Linked DNA regions of Drosophila melanogaster. Changing the gene in region 1 together with any one later gene gives a genetic interaction. Each region holds a gene or a part of one and is shown on either strand. Other genes may lie near its edges.

What was found.
Region 2: of Vha68-1 (region 1) and l(2)gd1, changing one suppresses a phenotype caused by changing the other (phenotypic suppression), as found in Drosophila melanogaster (one study listed by BioGRID).

What each region holds. Positions count from the first base shown.
Region 1 is NT_033779.5:13,000,270-13,005,988, forward strand, and holds Vha68-1 (vacuolar H[+] ATPase 68kD subunit 1), read right to left. Parts: upstream 3,839-5,719; 5' UTR 3,772-3,838; exon of another isoform or gene 3,705-3,771; intron 3,447-3,704; 5' UTR 3,391-3,446; coding exon 3,315-3,390; intron 3,052-3,314; coding exon 2,354-3,051; intron 2,269-2,353; coding exon 1,291-2,268; intron 1,236-1,290; coding exon 1,143-1,235; 3' UTR 501-1,142; downstream 1-500. Other genes in the region: Yip1d1 (Yip1 domain-containing 1), read right to left, coding at 1-115, 178-272; mTor (mechanistic target of rapamycin), read left to right, coding at 4,517-4,742, 4,798-5,018, 5,162-5,719. UniProt on the Drosophila melanogaster protein: Catalytic subunit of the V1 complex of vacuolar(H+)-ATPase (V-ATPase), a multisubunit enzyme composed of a peripheral complex (V1) that hydrolyzes ATP and a membrane integral complex (V0) that translocates protons.
Region 2 is NT_033779.5:11,104,909-11,111,396, reverse strand, and holds l(2)gd1 (lethal (2) giant discs 1), read right to left. Parts: upstream 4,455-6,488; 5' UTR 4,333-4,454; coding exon 4,276-4,332; intron 4,189-4,275; coding exon 2,590-4,188; intron 2,532-2,589; coding exon 2,100-2,531; intron 2,042-2,099; coding exon 1,890-2,041; intron 1,293-1,889; coding exon 1,148-1,292; intron 1,082-1,147; coding exon 962-1,081; 3' UTR 556-961; downstream 1-555. Other genes in the region: Idua (alpha-L-iduronidase), read left to right, coding at 1-417, 476-555; Reps (RALBP1 associated Eps domain containing), read left to right, coding at 5,184-5,330, 5,386-5,790, 5,873-6,192, 6,261-6,488. UniProt on the Drosophila melanogaster protein: Phosphatidyl inositol monophosphate binding protein involved in endosomal protein sorting through regulation of the endosomal sorting required for transport (ESCRT) pathway.

The DNA.
Region 1 (5,719 bases):
GGTGTAGGCCGTGGGATCGTAGAAGCCACCCAAGCCTTGGCTCGGCGGTTGGGCATAGGACGCATCGTAGTTCGGCGGCACTGAGGCCTGTGTGTTGTCGAAGGTTTGGAAATTCCTGCAAGCAAGTGGGGCAACAATTGTGAATGCTGTGAAATGGAATTCCGGGTAACTACTCACAGTTCCTGGCCAAATTCTGGCATATCGAAGTTGTAGCTGGCATCGGCCGAGGGCGCGGAGCCGTAAAAGTCATTGGGTCCGCCGAACTGAGACATGATTACTTTAATTTAAGCGCAATTCATATATTTACAAAATGATATTTAATTTAACAACACGTCAACTAGAGGTGACCAATAGCTAAATGTAATCGATGAATTTCGATGTTACCTATCGTCTAACACCGGTGCTATCTGAAATCGATATTTTCTCGCCCATCGATTTGTTTTAAATTCAAAAAATTGCGCCACTTTATAAGAAAGTAAATAAAAACCCGATCATTTTGTAACATTCATAATACATTTTATTTCCATAGCTCCATTTGCAACACACACAAGTTACTGAAATAGCTATCCTTTGGTAGTAGAGGTACATGCTTTTGGGGCTACGTTGTTATTGCGTTCTTTAAAGGTCTATAATATGTAGGAATATAATATTTTGTAATTTCGTAAAGATTCAAACGCCCTTTAGACTCGTCGTTTAGTTGGTTTAGTTTCACACAATAGGGTAACGAACACAATCGATAACTATATGAAAATTTACTAACAATACATAGCTGTGAATTATATTTATATATCAACATAGATAATTATACATATGTGTCATATATGTATGGTATTTATGTATATGGCTGGTTTAACTGCGTTCCATTTGCGCTACCGACTAATTATTGTTCGTCTTTCCTTTCGTTTTGCGTATCTTCTGGTGATTCGATTCTGACCTGACTAGACCTGAAGCGGGCCAAACTGTTTGTTAAACTTATAAGTAAACTTGGATTCAAATATCTTATTATGCATTATGTAAATATGACTAGATTGAATGGGGAATTCGAATAATAACCTAGCTTTGGTTTCTTATTTCGTTTGGTTTGCTTCTTTTTCCATTCCTCTCGCTAGGAAAGCCCGCAGTTGGTTTCTGTCCGTTTCCGCTTAGTCCTCTAGATTTCGGAAGGCCTGCTGCAGATCCTCGTACAGCTGGTCGTAGTCCGCCTTGATCTTTTGCTCGCCATCTTTCACCGGGTCCTTAAAATGTGAATTATTAATATAAATAATAGTTGGAATAGATAAACCCACTCACCTTGAACTTCATTGACGACAGCTGGTACATAATTCCGCCCATCGATTCCCTGATGGTGTTCCATGTGATCTTGTTGTCCGACTGGGCTGTGGACTCAACGGCATGACGGGCGGTCTCATAGAAGGCCATGATGTTTCTCAGCATGCCCACGGTCTTGTAGAAGGGACAAACGCGATCGTATGGTGAGTAGGAGTTCTGTTGCAGAAAGTCGTCCTTCAGCAGCTTTGCCACTTCCAGGGTCACCTTGTCGGTCTCGGCCAGTGATGCTTTGCCCACCAGCTGAACGATCTCAGACAGATCCTCCTCCTCCTGCAGGATCTCCTTGACCTTGGTGCGTAGTGGCACGAACTCGGGGTAGTTCTTGTCATAGTATTCATCCAGAGCACGCATGTACTTCGAGTAGGAGATGAGCCAGTTGATCGAGGGGAAGTGCTTGCGCTGGGCCAATTTCTTGTCGAGACCCCAGAACACCTGCACGATACCCAAAGTGGCGGAGGTCACGGGATCGGAGAAGTCACCACCAGGAGGAGACACAGCTCCGACAATGGACACGGATCCCTCGCGCTCCGGGTTACCCAAGCACTTGACGCGCCCAGCACGCTCGTAGAATGTGGCCAGACGAGCTCCTAGATAAGCCGGGTAGCCAGAATCGGCAGGCATCTCAGCCAAACGACCCGAAATCTCACGAAGTGCCTCAGCCCAACGGGAGGTGGAATCAGCCATCATGGCTACGTTGTAGCCCATATCACGGAAGTATTCAGACAGAGTGATTCCAGTGTAGATGGAGGCCTCACGAGCAGCCACCGGCATGTTGGAGGTGTTGGCCACCAGAGCAGTTCGCTTCATAATGGACTCGGTGACGCCATCTATCTCGCAGGTCAGTTCGGGAAAGTCACGCAGTACCTCAGACATCTCGTTACCGCGCTCGCCGCAACCGACGTAGATGATCACATCAGAGTTGGAGTACTTGGACAGGGCCTACGGGTGGTTGAAGTGCAGATTGGAAGGGATGGTCATTTAATGAGATGTAAGATGTGGATTAAGTGAATAATTTGCAACTTGCCTGCGAAATGACGGTCTTGCCGCAGCCAAAGGCACCGGGGATGGCAGTGGTGCCGCCCTGTACGCAGGGGAAGAGCGAGTCAAGGACGCGTTGGCCCGTGAAGAGCGGATGGTTGGCTGGCAGCTTCTCTGTGACGGGACGTGGCTGCCGCACTGGCCAGACCTGCAACATGGTGTGCTTGGTTATCTCGCCGTCGAACTCCGTCTCCAGGACAATGTCCTCCAGGTTGTAGTTGCCCGCGGGGGCAATGTATCGAACGGTTCCCTTAGCCCTGGGTGCCACAATCATGCGCTGCTTCACCAGCGTGTTCTCGTGTACCACTCCATACAGATCTCCTCCGGTGATGTGGGATCCCACCCGCACATTCAGCGGATTAAATTCCCACATCTCCGAGCGCGACAAAGCAGTTGTGTTGACACCTTTGGGTATATAGATGGAGTTGGTCATGACACCAATGTCCCGCAAAGGACGTTGGATGCCGTCGAAGATGCTGCCCATAATGCCGGGTCCAAGTTCCACGGAAAGAGGTTTGCCGGTACGCAGCACCGGATCGCCGACAGTCACGCCAGAGGTCTCCTCGTACACCTGGATGGTGGCCATGTCGCCCTCCAGACGGATGATCTCGCCCACCAGCTCGTAGTAGCCGACGCGGACCAACTCGTACATAGCTGATCCAGACATGGCCTCAGCGGTGACCACTGAAGTGGATTTAAAGTTGTTGAAGGAGGAAAAGCAGGAGAAATATGATTAGCAAGGAGTGGAGAGAGCAGCATAATGAGGAAGATTATGCGGAACAGGAGGAGGGGGAAGAAAGCATACAGAAATATGAAAAGGAGAAGGATAATAAGGAAGGATAAAAAGGAAGATGTGGAGGAGTATAATTAAGAACAGAAGAAAGGCAGGATTAAGGATTACAGAACTTGGGGGTCAGCGCATGAAGGACGCTGGTGACGTCGCTTACCTGGTCCGGATACCGCGTAGACACGGCCATATTCCGACTCGCGCTCCTCGTCTTTGAATTTCCTCAAGTTGGACATGGTCGCGGTTGCTGCTCTTCTTCTTCTGCTTCGGTAACGGTCAAATCGTTCGTTGGCTGTGGGAAAAAGTAACCGTTTTTCTTATAAACAAAAACACGCATTTTCCATGCCCCCGAATGAGAGAGCGTTTTCCGCGAGGAAACGCATAGGTGGCGCTGATGTGCAGCAGCAGCCCCCAGTGAAAAGCTTCACACCCCCGCAGCACAGCATCGATTTTCCAATACAATTTTCACACATGCCACCAACGGCAAGGTGAATTTTCCACCTTTTACCCATCACAAAAGCAATTTTCACACTTTCTTTTCATTCAACACCTTGTGGTCAGTGGTTTTGTGGCGTAAAAACTGCTTTTTCAGCTGCTCTAAAATTAAATAAGCTCACATTTGTTTCAACAGCTCTTATGAAAATTCTCTTGCTTTTTTGATTTCACTCTAGTATTGATCTATCGGTTATCGTCGAGGGCTCCAGGTTCTCTATAGAGATGGGCTCACATCAAACTCACGCACGTCACGATACATTAATAGTCGGATTCCACTAGCACATTCCGCAGTTAAATCTTGAAATACTTGTTGGTAATTATTAAAAATTTAACATAAGCTTGCATTTTTGTGCTATTTTCCAAATTCTTCAATGCAACTTGTTCACTCCAGTAATATAAATGTTTTGTACCACAACTTTAAGCCAATTTCTTTTTAATTGCTTATAATAAAGAACAAATTTATTAATTACTTTATTATTTTTATTTAATATGTTCTCTAACATTTTAAATGCTTATAAGTCGCCGCCAAGTACAGAAGTATCAGCAAGAAAATATCGATTGTAAATTGATCGAATTCTGTTTTACATCACTAATCGGCAGCGGCTGCAATAAATTTCCGTAAAAACCGAAGTAATCCGCAATTAAAGAAAGCAAAGGACCTGCATCCGTGTGAGATCGTTCGGCACCGGTGCCGGCACATGAAATCCTATCGAGTGACCAGTGGAACAGTGCGTACAGCGCCCCGGGGCAACTGAAAAGATAACCTCCAAAGTCCGTAGACAGCAGGCAGATGCACCTGCTCCACCCTTTCCCCTCCCAAATGCAAGTGAAAATCGCGTTTAAATAGTGAATAAACCCTGCCCAGCCATGTCGACGACGTCGGTGGTGCAGCAGTTCGTCAACGGGCTTAAGTCCCGCAACCGGAATGTACAGAACAAGGCAACCCAGGATCTGCTCTTCTATGTGAAGACCGAGCTACGCGAAATGTCCCAGGAGGAGCTGGCCCAATTTTTCGACGAGTTCGACCATCACATTTTCACGATGGTGAATGCGACAGATATCAACGAGAAAAAAGGCGGTGCCCTGGCCATGAGTGAGTTCCTGGCTCCCCGGCAGTGCTTGAGAGGATTTAACGTCTTCCCTTTCAGAGTGCCTGATTAACTGCGAGGGCAGTCTTACTGCCAGGAAGGGCATTTCGCCCTATCTCAACCGCCTGCGCGATCTTCTGCTAATCAACGATGTGTCCGTCATGGAGATTGCCGCCCGCTCCCTGGTCAAATTGGCCAACATGCCCACCTCCAAGGGCGCCGATTCCTTCGACTTTGATATTAAGAAGGCTTTTGAGGTGCTCAGAGGCGAGAGACAAGAGGTGAATTATAAGGGAAACCTACAAATTAAGCTTTTAAGTCTGATTTTGAGATGAAGATGGAAAAACTTTATAATGAAAATGAAAATAGTAGTTGTAAGCATGGCTAGAGTTATCCAAATTCATTTATATATTATTTTTTTCAGTACCGCCGCCATTCAGCCGTCTTTATCCTCCGTGAGCTGGCTATCGCCTTGCCCACATACTTCTACCAGCACATCCTGACCTTCTTCGAGGTTATCTTTAACGCCATCTTCGATCCCAAACCTGCTATACGAGAGTCAGCTGGCGAGGCTTTGAGGGCGGCTTTGATTGTCACCGCTCAGCGAGAGAGCACCAAGCAGTCCAGTGAACCACAGTGGTACAGAATCTGCTATGACGAGGCGAATGGAAGCTTCAATGCAGACTTGGGCTCTAGCAAGGATCAGAAAGGCGTGACCCGAGACGATCGCATTCACGGTGGCCTCGTCGTCTTCAACGAGCTCTTTCGCTGTGCCAATGCCACCTGGGAGCGGCGCTACACGTCTCTGAAGACGCTGTTCCCCAAGACCCAACACAATAAGTTCCTGGAGGCCAGCAGTTCGTCGAGTATGGGTTCCCAGCTGAATACTCTAGTGCCGCGGCTAAAGGTGCCCTTCATTGACAAGCTCGGCAGCACCCAAACGCATTTGGGTGAGGGAGAGCATCACAAAGGAGTTGCCAAG
Region 2 (6,488 bases), 1.9 Mb from region 1:
TATGGCAGCAAGCTGGAAGTCCGGCTTATCCCAACGCCACTCTAAGGGAAGCGATGCGAAGAGCCCAAGCACCTAGACTCTACAAGACGGGACCCATCTGGCAGTACAACAGCGAGCTAGTTATCAACTCCGCCAGCATCCCACTGCCCTGGGCGATGCTGCTCCGGGTGTGTTCCGCATCTTGGCCCAAACTGCGACGACCGCAGCAACTTTCCATCGCAGAGGTGACTCAGCGTGAGGTGTTCATTAGCTGGATGGAACACCCCAAATCCACGCAGTGCCTTCTCAGCTACGAGGTGTGGTTTAAGGAACGCGATAATCTGGGTCGCTCCGCCGACTGGATGCTCATCTCACAGGGCTGGCATCTGCCATATCCGTCGTTTCAGTATGCGCCCGGCGATAAGGGATCCGTCAATGGTGAGCATAACCTGCAAAATTTCCATCTTTCATAACCGAAATCTTTTTTTGTCGGCAGGTTTCTATAAAGTTCGCGGTGTGGATGTGTTTAATGAAACCAGTCCCTACTCACAAATAGTCGAATATCTGGAGTTGTAGTTCAACAAACAGTTTATAAATCAAAAGAAAATATTTATGCAATGTGAAAGCTAACATAATCAGGTTTCGGCTAGGCGCTAGTGGACCGATCCTACTCTCAATCTGTCTCTCTTGGAATGGACTGACTTCACCGGCACAATCTTCTGGACTTGCGCCTTCGCCTTAACGCCGGCAATATCATATATACATATATTATTTATATATAAAGATATTTATAGTACATTATATGTGTTGTGTTCGTAATATATAAATGCCTTCTTCCTGCGAAGGAATCGGCAAAAGCGTACATACTTAGATAAATTGAATTTTCTGTGAGGGATATTTACAAACAAATAACTTAGTGACTTAATCGAGAACAATCGCAAGGGGACGCGTTCCTATTTTATTTAAATTTTCTTGTTTAGCCCTAGGCATCCAAGACCAACCACTTTTCGGTGATGTGCTCCATTTGCTTGGTGAGAATAGGATTGCGAACGCGTATCTTGACTTCCAATTTTCCACCTACTTGCTTGCGACCATCCATTAGCTGTTTTAAGGAATACATAGGTTAAATTTAAGTTTATATTATTTTATTATAGTAGTTATCACTTACATCATATGTGTCGTGTATCTCGCACTTGGTCTCCAATGGCTGCAGCTTGACATTTACGGTTCCGATCAACGTATCCGATCGCAGAAAACCTCTGAAACAACACAGGGGCAGTTTACGACTTAGTCCACAACAATCTATACTGCAGCTATTTATATTAAATGCGTAGCATTGGATGACATTTATTTTTTGTTTGAATTGTTGGGAATTGAGGCGTAAAAATTTGTAAAAATATTTCATTAAAATGTTCCTTGTGAGAATCAATCAAGAAGATCAATGGGTAGACACATACGGTGAAATATATGTGTGCTTGAAGCCGTGACTCGTACGATACTGTTTTACGGGACCAAAGGAACATGCTTACTACGGGAAAAATTTAATAATTCAAATTAAGAGCTGAAACTTAATATTAAGAGCAAATTAATACCCAAGCGAAACCTACAAATTGGATAAAAATATTTAGTAGGTATGCAGCTCAATCAACAGCTTTTTAAATTTTCGCAAAATGATCTATGCCAAATATTTTTTAAAATTATATATATATTTTTATTTAAGTCTTTAAGGCTATTTCAAAATGTAGAAGATTACTACTCATCGGATATTACTAAGTATTCCTTGGAAAATTAATACGCGTAAATAAGATCATATACCGCCTCCGTTAGTTGAGATTAATATGCATGGAAAGCTTCTTAGTACGGATTAAATAATTGTTCTAGCTCAGTTCTTTTATGTACGGGCAACTTACCCTCTAGAGTATATTTCAAACTTGACGCCATGCCGCTTAAAGATTCTCTGGAACTGACGATTGGTCCGCTGGATGTCAACCTTGAAGCGTTCATCGTAGTCAGGACTGCTGGTGTCTCTGATAACATTGGTTTTAGTCTTGAAAGATTCATCCTTAAAACGAAAACATATAAATAATTGGTGAAACTTTAAATGTTGGTAATTAGCTTACATTGAGCAGGGGAAACTCTACGCGCACATAAGTATCCACGTCCTTGGGATTGGCCACATTGTAGCTGATTCCCCGGACCACAACAATTTCAAGCTCACTGTCTGTGAGATCTGTGTTGCAATGCACAATGTTGAAGCTACGCTTTTCATAGTGAAACTTTGGCAGTGGTTCATTCTTTCGTTTCGAGTATCGCACCAAATCCAAATCCTTTTGCACAGTTAAGGCTAAATTTTCAAACCGATTCATGCCTGCTACATCTCCCATAGCTTTGTGATGATCTCGCGTATTTTTGCACATCATCAGTTGTTTTGCCAGCTGCTCCTCCATGCGAACACCAATTTCACAGATATCATCTGTCGGATCGCATTCCTCAGCAGATACAATGGCAAAGGAGGCTTCTAGATTATCCCTTTGTGAAGGCGGGACGGGAAGCTGAAAAAAAAAAATATATAGTTAGCCATACAAGAAGAAGATGTAATGCAAAACTTACAGTGCTGAGGTCCACTGGCAATCCACTACTCGCTGCATTAAGAAGGGAATCGAATCCCTTGAAGATCTTGAGGTACTCCTTCGCCTGATCTATTTCTCCCGCTTTTTTGGCCTCTATAGCAGCTAGCTTAAACTCCTTTTGGCGCTCGAGGAGCAGTTTCATTTGTTGCTCGGCAATATTATTCTTCTGCTGATTGCCAGACGTGCGTGTTGTTAACTCTTTGGGCTTAGGAGGTGAAGGTGCTTTTCGAGGAGCTGTAGGTGTCGTCGCACTGGAACTGGAGGGTGTTCCTCCTGCGGAAGTACTTGCTGTTGGCGGTGGAGATGTAGGCGAAGTGGGCAGCGACGGTGTCGGCGCGACAGGAGCAGCATCAGCCGTAGGCAGCGGTCCAAAACCTGGTGGCACAGGCAGCTCATCGTAAGGCACTGGTTTGCCTGCCTTGTACAACTTTATGGCATCTTCGTATTGCTTCACAATCCTTCCAAAGCGTCTTGCTTTTCCGCTATTGTTTTCTGCCTTGGCTGCCGCTTCTACAGATTGATATTTCTCTAAACGTTGCTGCAGAGCCTCCAACATATTTGTTGCAGCTGCTAGAACAGGAGCAGGAGCAACAGGTGTGGGTTCTGGGGCAGCAGTAGGTTCTGCGACAGCTTCTGCGGCTGCTTCTTCTTGCATTTTTTTAAGGAATTCAAGAAACTCAGCTGGTGGAGGGGGCATGTCACTCAAATCAACTTCCTGTCCGTCTTCACACATTTTTATAACTACGTCAAATTGCTTGACCACTTTGAGAAACTGAAGGGCAGTAGATATGTCACCACTGCGCTTAGATTGCAGTGCAGCAGCTTTGTAGTCCGTCTGGCGGCTGCGCATTTGCGTCACAAGAGGATTAGGGGGAGATGTGGGAGCCACAGATGTAGTGGGCTCCACGGGGGTGCCGGGGGTTGGTGGATCTGGAGCTGCACGACTAGGCACAGGCGGAGGGGAAGCAGGTGTGGAAGGAGCTGGTGACTCCTCTGCAGGCACTGGAGGAGCCTGCCCGCCAATTGGCTTTACACTGACTTCAGGTGGAATGTCATCCACGTTAATGGACTTGCCAGCCGCTGCCTGCCTGTGCAGATCTTTCAGAGTCTTAAGGCCTCTTCCAAATCGCCTTGCTTTGCCAGAATCGCCGGCAGTCTTGGCATTGGCCTCGGCCTGCTTGTACATTTCCAGGCGCTGTTTGATAATGCTTAATGTGTCCACAGTCGTCGTGGGCAGAAAGGTCTGGACGGGTTCCTCAGAGGCAGCTGGCGGTTGTGCGACAGGCTCCTCTTCCTCTGCCTCCTCTAGACCACCGATTCCGCTCAGCTCGCCAAGAAGATCCGGATCGCTTTCCAAATTGTCATCATCATCATCGTCGCTGACATCACGCAAGCTGTCGGCTATCATTTTGTCCAAATCACTGGCGGGTAACAGCTTTGCTTTGGGCTTGGGCTTTGGCTTGGCTCCTTCTCCGCCGGTTATGGCCGCAAGCTCTGCCTCCAAATCACTGTCACCCCCATCGTCCTCACCATATCCAGCGCTGGGATCAAAATCATCTGGGATTTCCGTAAGACCGAACTAAACACAAAAAACAAAAAAGACAGTCCAAACGATGAGTCATAATTAATAAATAGACGGATCTAGACTGTTTGTTTTTCCTCTCACCTGCGATAAATCGTGTTGCCTTCTTTTCGCTGGCTCTGGCTTCTTTCTGGAGAACATCCTTGATTGCACAGAGGCTGTTTATTAACTAAAATAAGTCTATAAAGACTTTCAAATCCTTTAAATTTTTGCGTCGCAACAGTTCAGCCGCAGACAACAATAACAGAGTGGGGATCACTGTGGTGCAACGAAAGGTGACGCAGGAAAGTCTTTGCGAATTGGTGACGTCAGTGGCACAGGGCTACAGGAAATTTGTTGACGGTTAAAAAAATATCGTTAAAAATAATGAAGAAATGATTTTTTCTTCATTCAGCAACATTAAATTTTATTATAGTTTAATCCATAATGAAATATAAATGAACATGGTAAGCCACCTTACAAAACATCAATCCTGCGGAACTAAACTTTTGCCGGTAACTAGGGCTGCGAAACGCTAACAGGTACAGGGCTGCCGCGCCAGCTGTCTAATCGAATCGATACCGCAACCTATCGATATCGAGAGCCAGCGCACACACAGTGCAAAAGAGTTTGCGAAAAAAAACCTGGACAAAAAGCCAAATTGATTGTGCGCCGAGCAGCTTGAGGCACTAGGTGTACCCTCGTCGACCAGTGCCGTGAATCCTCTAACCATCGTGGTTGTGGTGGCACCAAGAAGTTAGCGAAACCATCGTCCCCGCAGTTCTCCCAGCTTCCACCTCCTCCAACTCCGTCTTGGGGGCCAAAGGCAGAAAATCATCAGACTTCTGGTTGTGAGCAGCGCGGGGCAGCGGGGTCGGCACTGGCCTGCTGGGTTAAACGTGGAAGTAAACAAACGAATTGGATTCCGGGTCCAGGACGGACGAACGGGGCGTGGCTCGTTAACCAGCGGCTTGGTAAACGAAACCAGAGACGGCAACAAGTAGGCGACAGGCATGGACGTGTCCCTCACTGAGCCGGAGACGCGCTTCTACAGTGAGTTGTTCCAATGCTGCGACGTGGAGAAGACAGGCAAGGTGCCCATGCTTAAGGCCACCGAGCTCTTTCGCTCGGCGGACATCGCCAATGAGACCGTGATTGAGGTAGGTCCAATTTGTGTGATCGTGAGTGATTAATTATCTGGGTCTGGGCTTATAGATCACCGGTCTGGCGGGGATACCCTCCACGGCGCTACACATCTCGCGGACACAGTTCTACTCATGCCTGAAGCTAATCGCTGCTCATCAGGCGGCCATGCCCCTGCGCCAGGAGCTGATCTTGGCCACGTTTCCGCTTCCATTACCGCACTTTAGCTGGAAGGAGGCGGTTACAGCTCCGGTGGCTGTCGAAAATGGATTGACTGCCTTGCCACCGCCACCACCCACAGATCGCAGAAATTCACTGCGTCGTAACTCGCAGCAAGAGCAGCTGCAAGACACCTCTGATGTGCCCAGCACCGACTCCGAGGTTGAGCAAAACGAATCAGTGGACGATGCGACAGGCCATGGACGAGGTACGGATGGCTGTGGGGTCGTCAGCAGCAGCAGCCGCGAAAATGTCGGGGTTTGTACTTCTATCTTATCTTGTGACATTTGTAAATAAGCTTACCATTGACCGATCCCCGTCCATGCCTTATCTCTTTTAGCGACGACGAGGAGGCGGTACTGGTGGTGGATCGCCAGAAGCCTGGAGCACTAACAGTGACAGCCCCACGCCCACCAACAGCGTGGCTGAGCGGCCTTGGGCGCAGGACACCCTCTGGCAGGGTTTGCTGGGCGACGAGCATCGCCAGCTGCTAGGCACGGAGGAAGAGTCTTCCGATCGCCACAGCAGCGACGACGATGACAACGAGAGCGAATTGGTGACCATTTACCAGATAACCCCGGAACAGCGCGAGTACTATAATAAGCAGTTCAGGACGGTGCAAAGGGATCCGCATGGTCTGCTTTCGGGCCAAGCAGCAAGGTAAGTTGGCTTTAGGAACGTTTATAACTTTATTCTTCTTATTATTTTCTTATTCCTTTTTTTATTAGAAACTTTTTTGAAAAGAGCCGCATTCCTGTGGAGGAGCTACGTCACATTTGGCAGTTGTGTGACGTTACCCGCGATGGAGCGCTAAGTCTGTCTGAGTTTACGGCCGCCATGCATTTGGTGGTTCTACGGCGCAACAACATTCCCTTGCCCACAAGTCTGCCCCACTGTTTGCATCCCAACGTGCTACAAGCAGCTGCGTCCGGCAGTGGACAGGGGGTGACATCCTC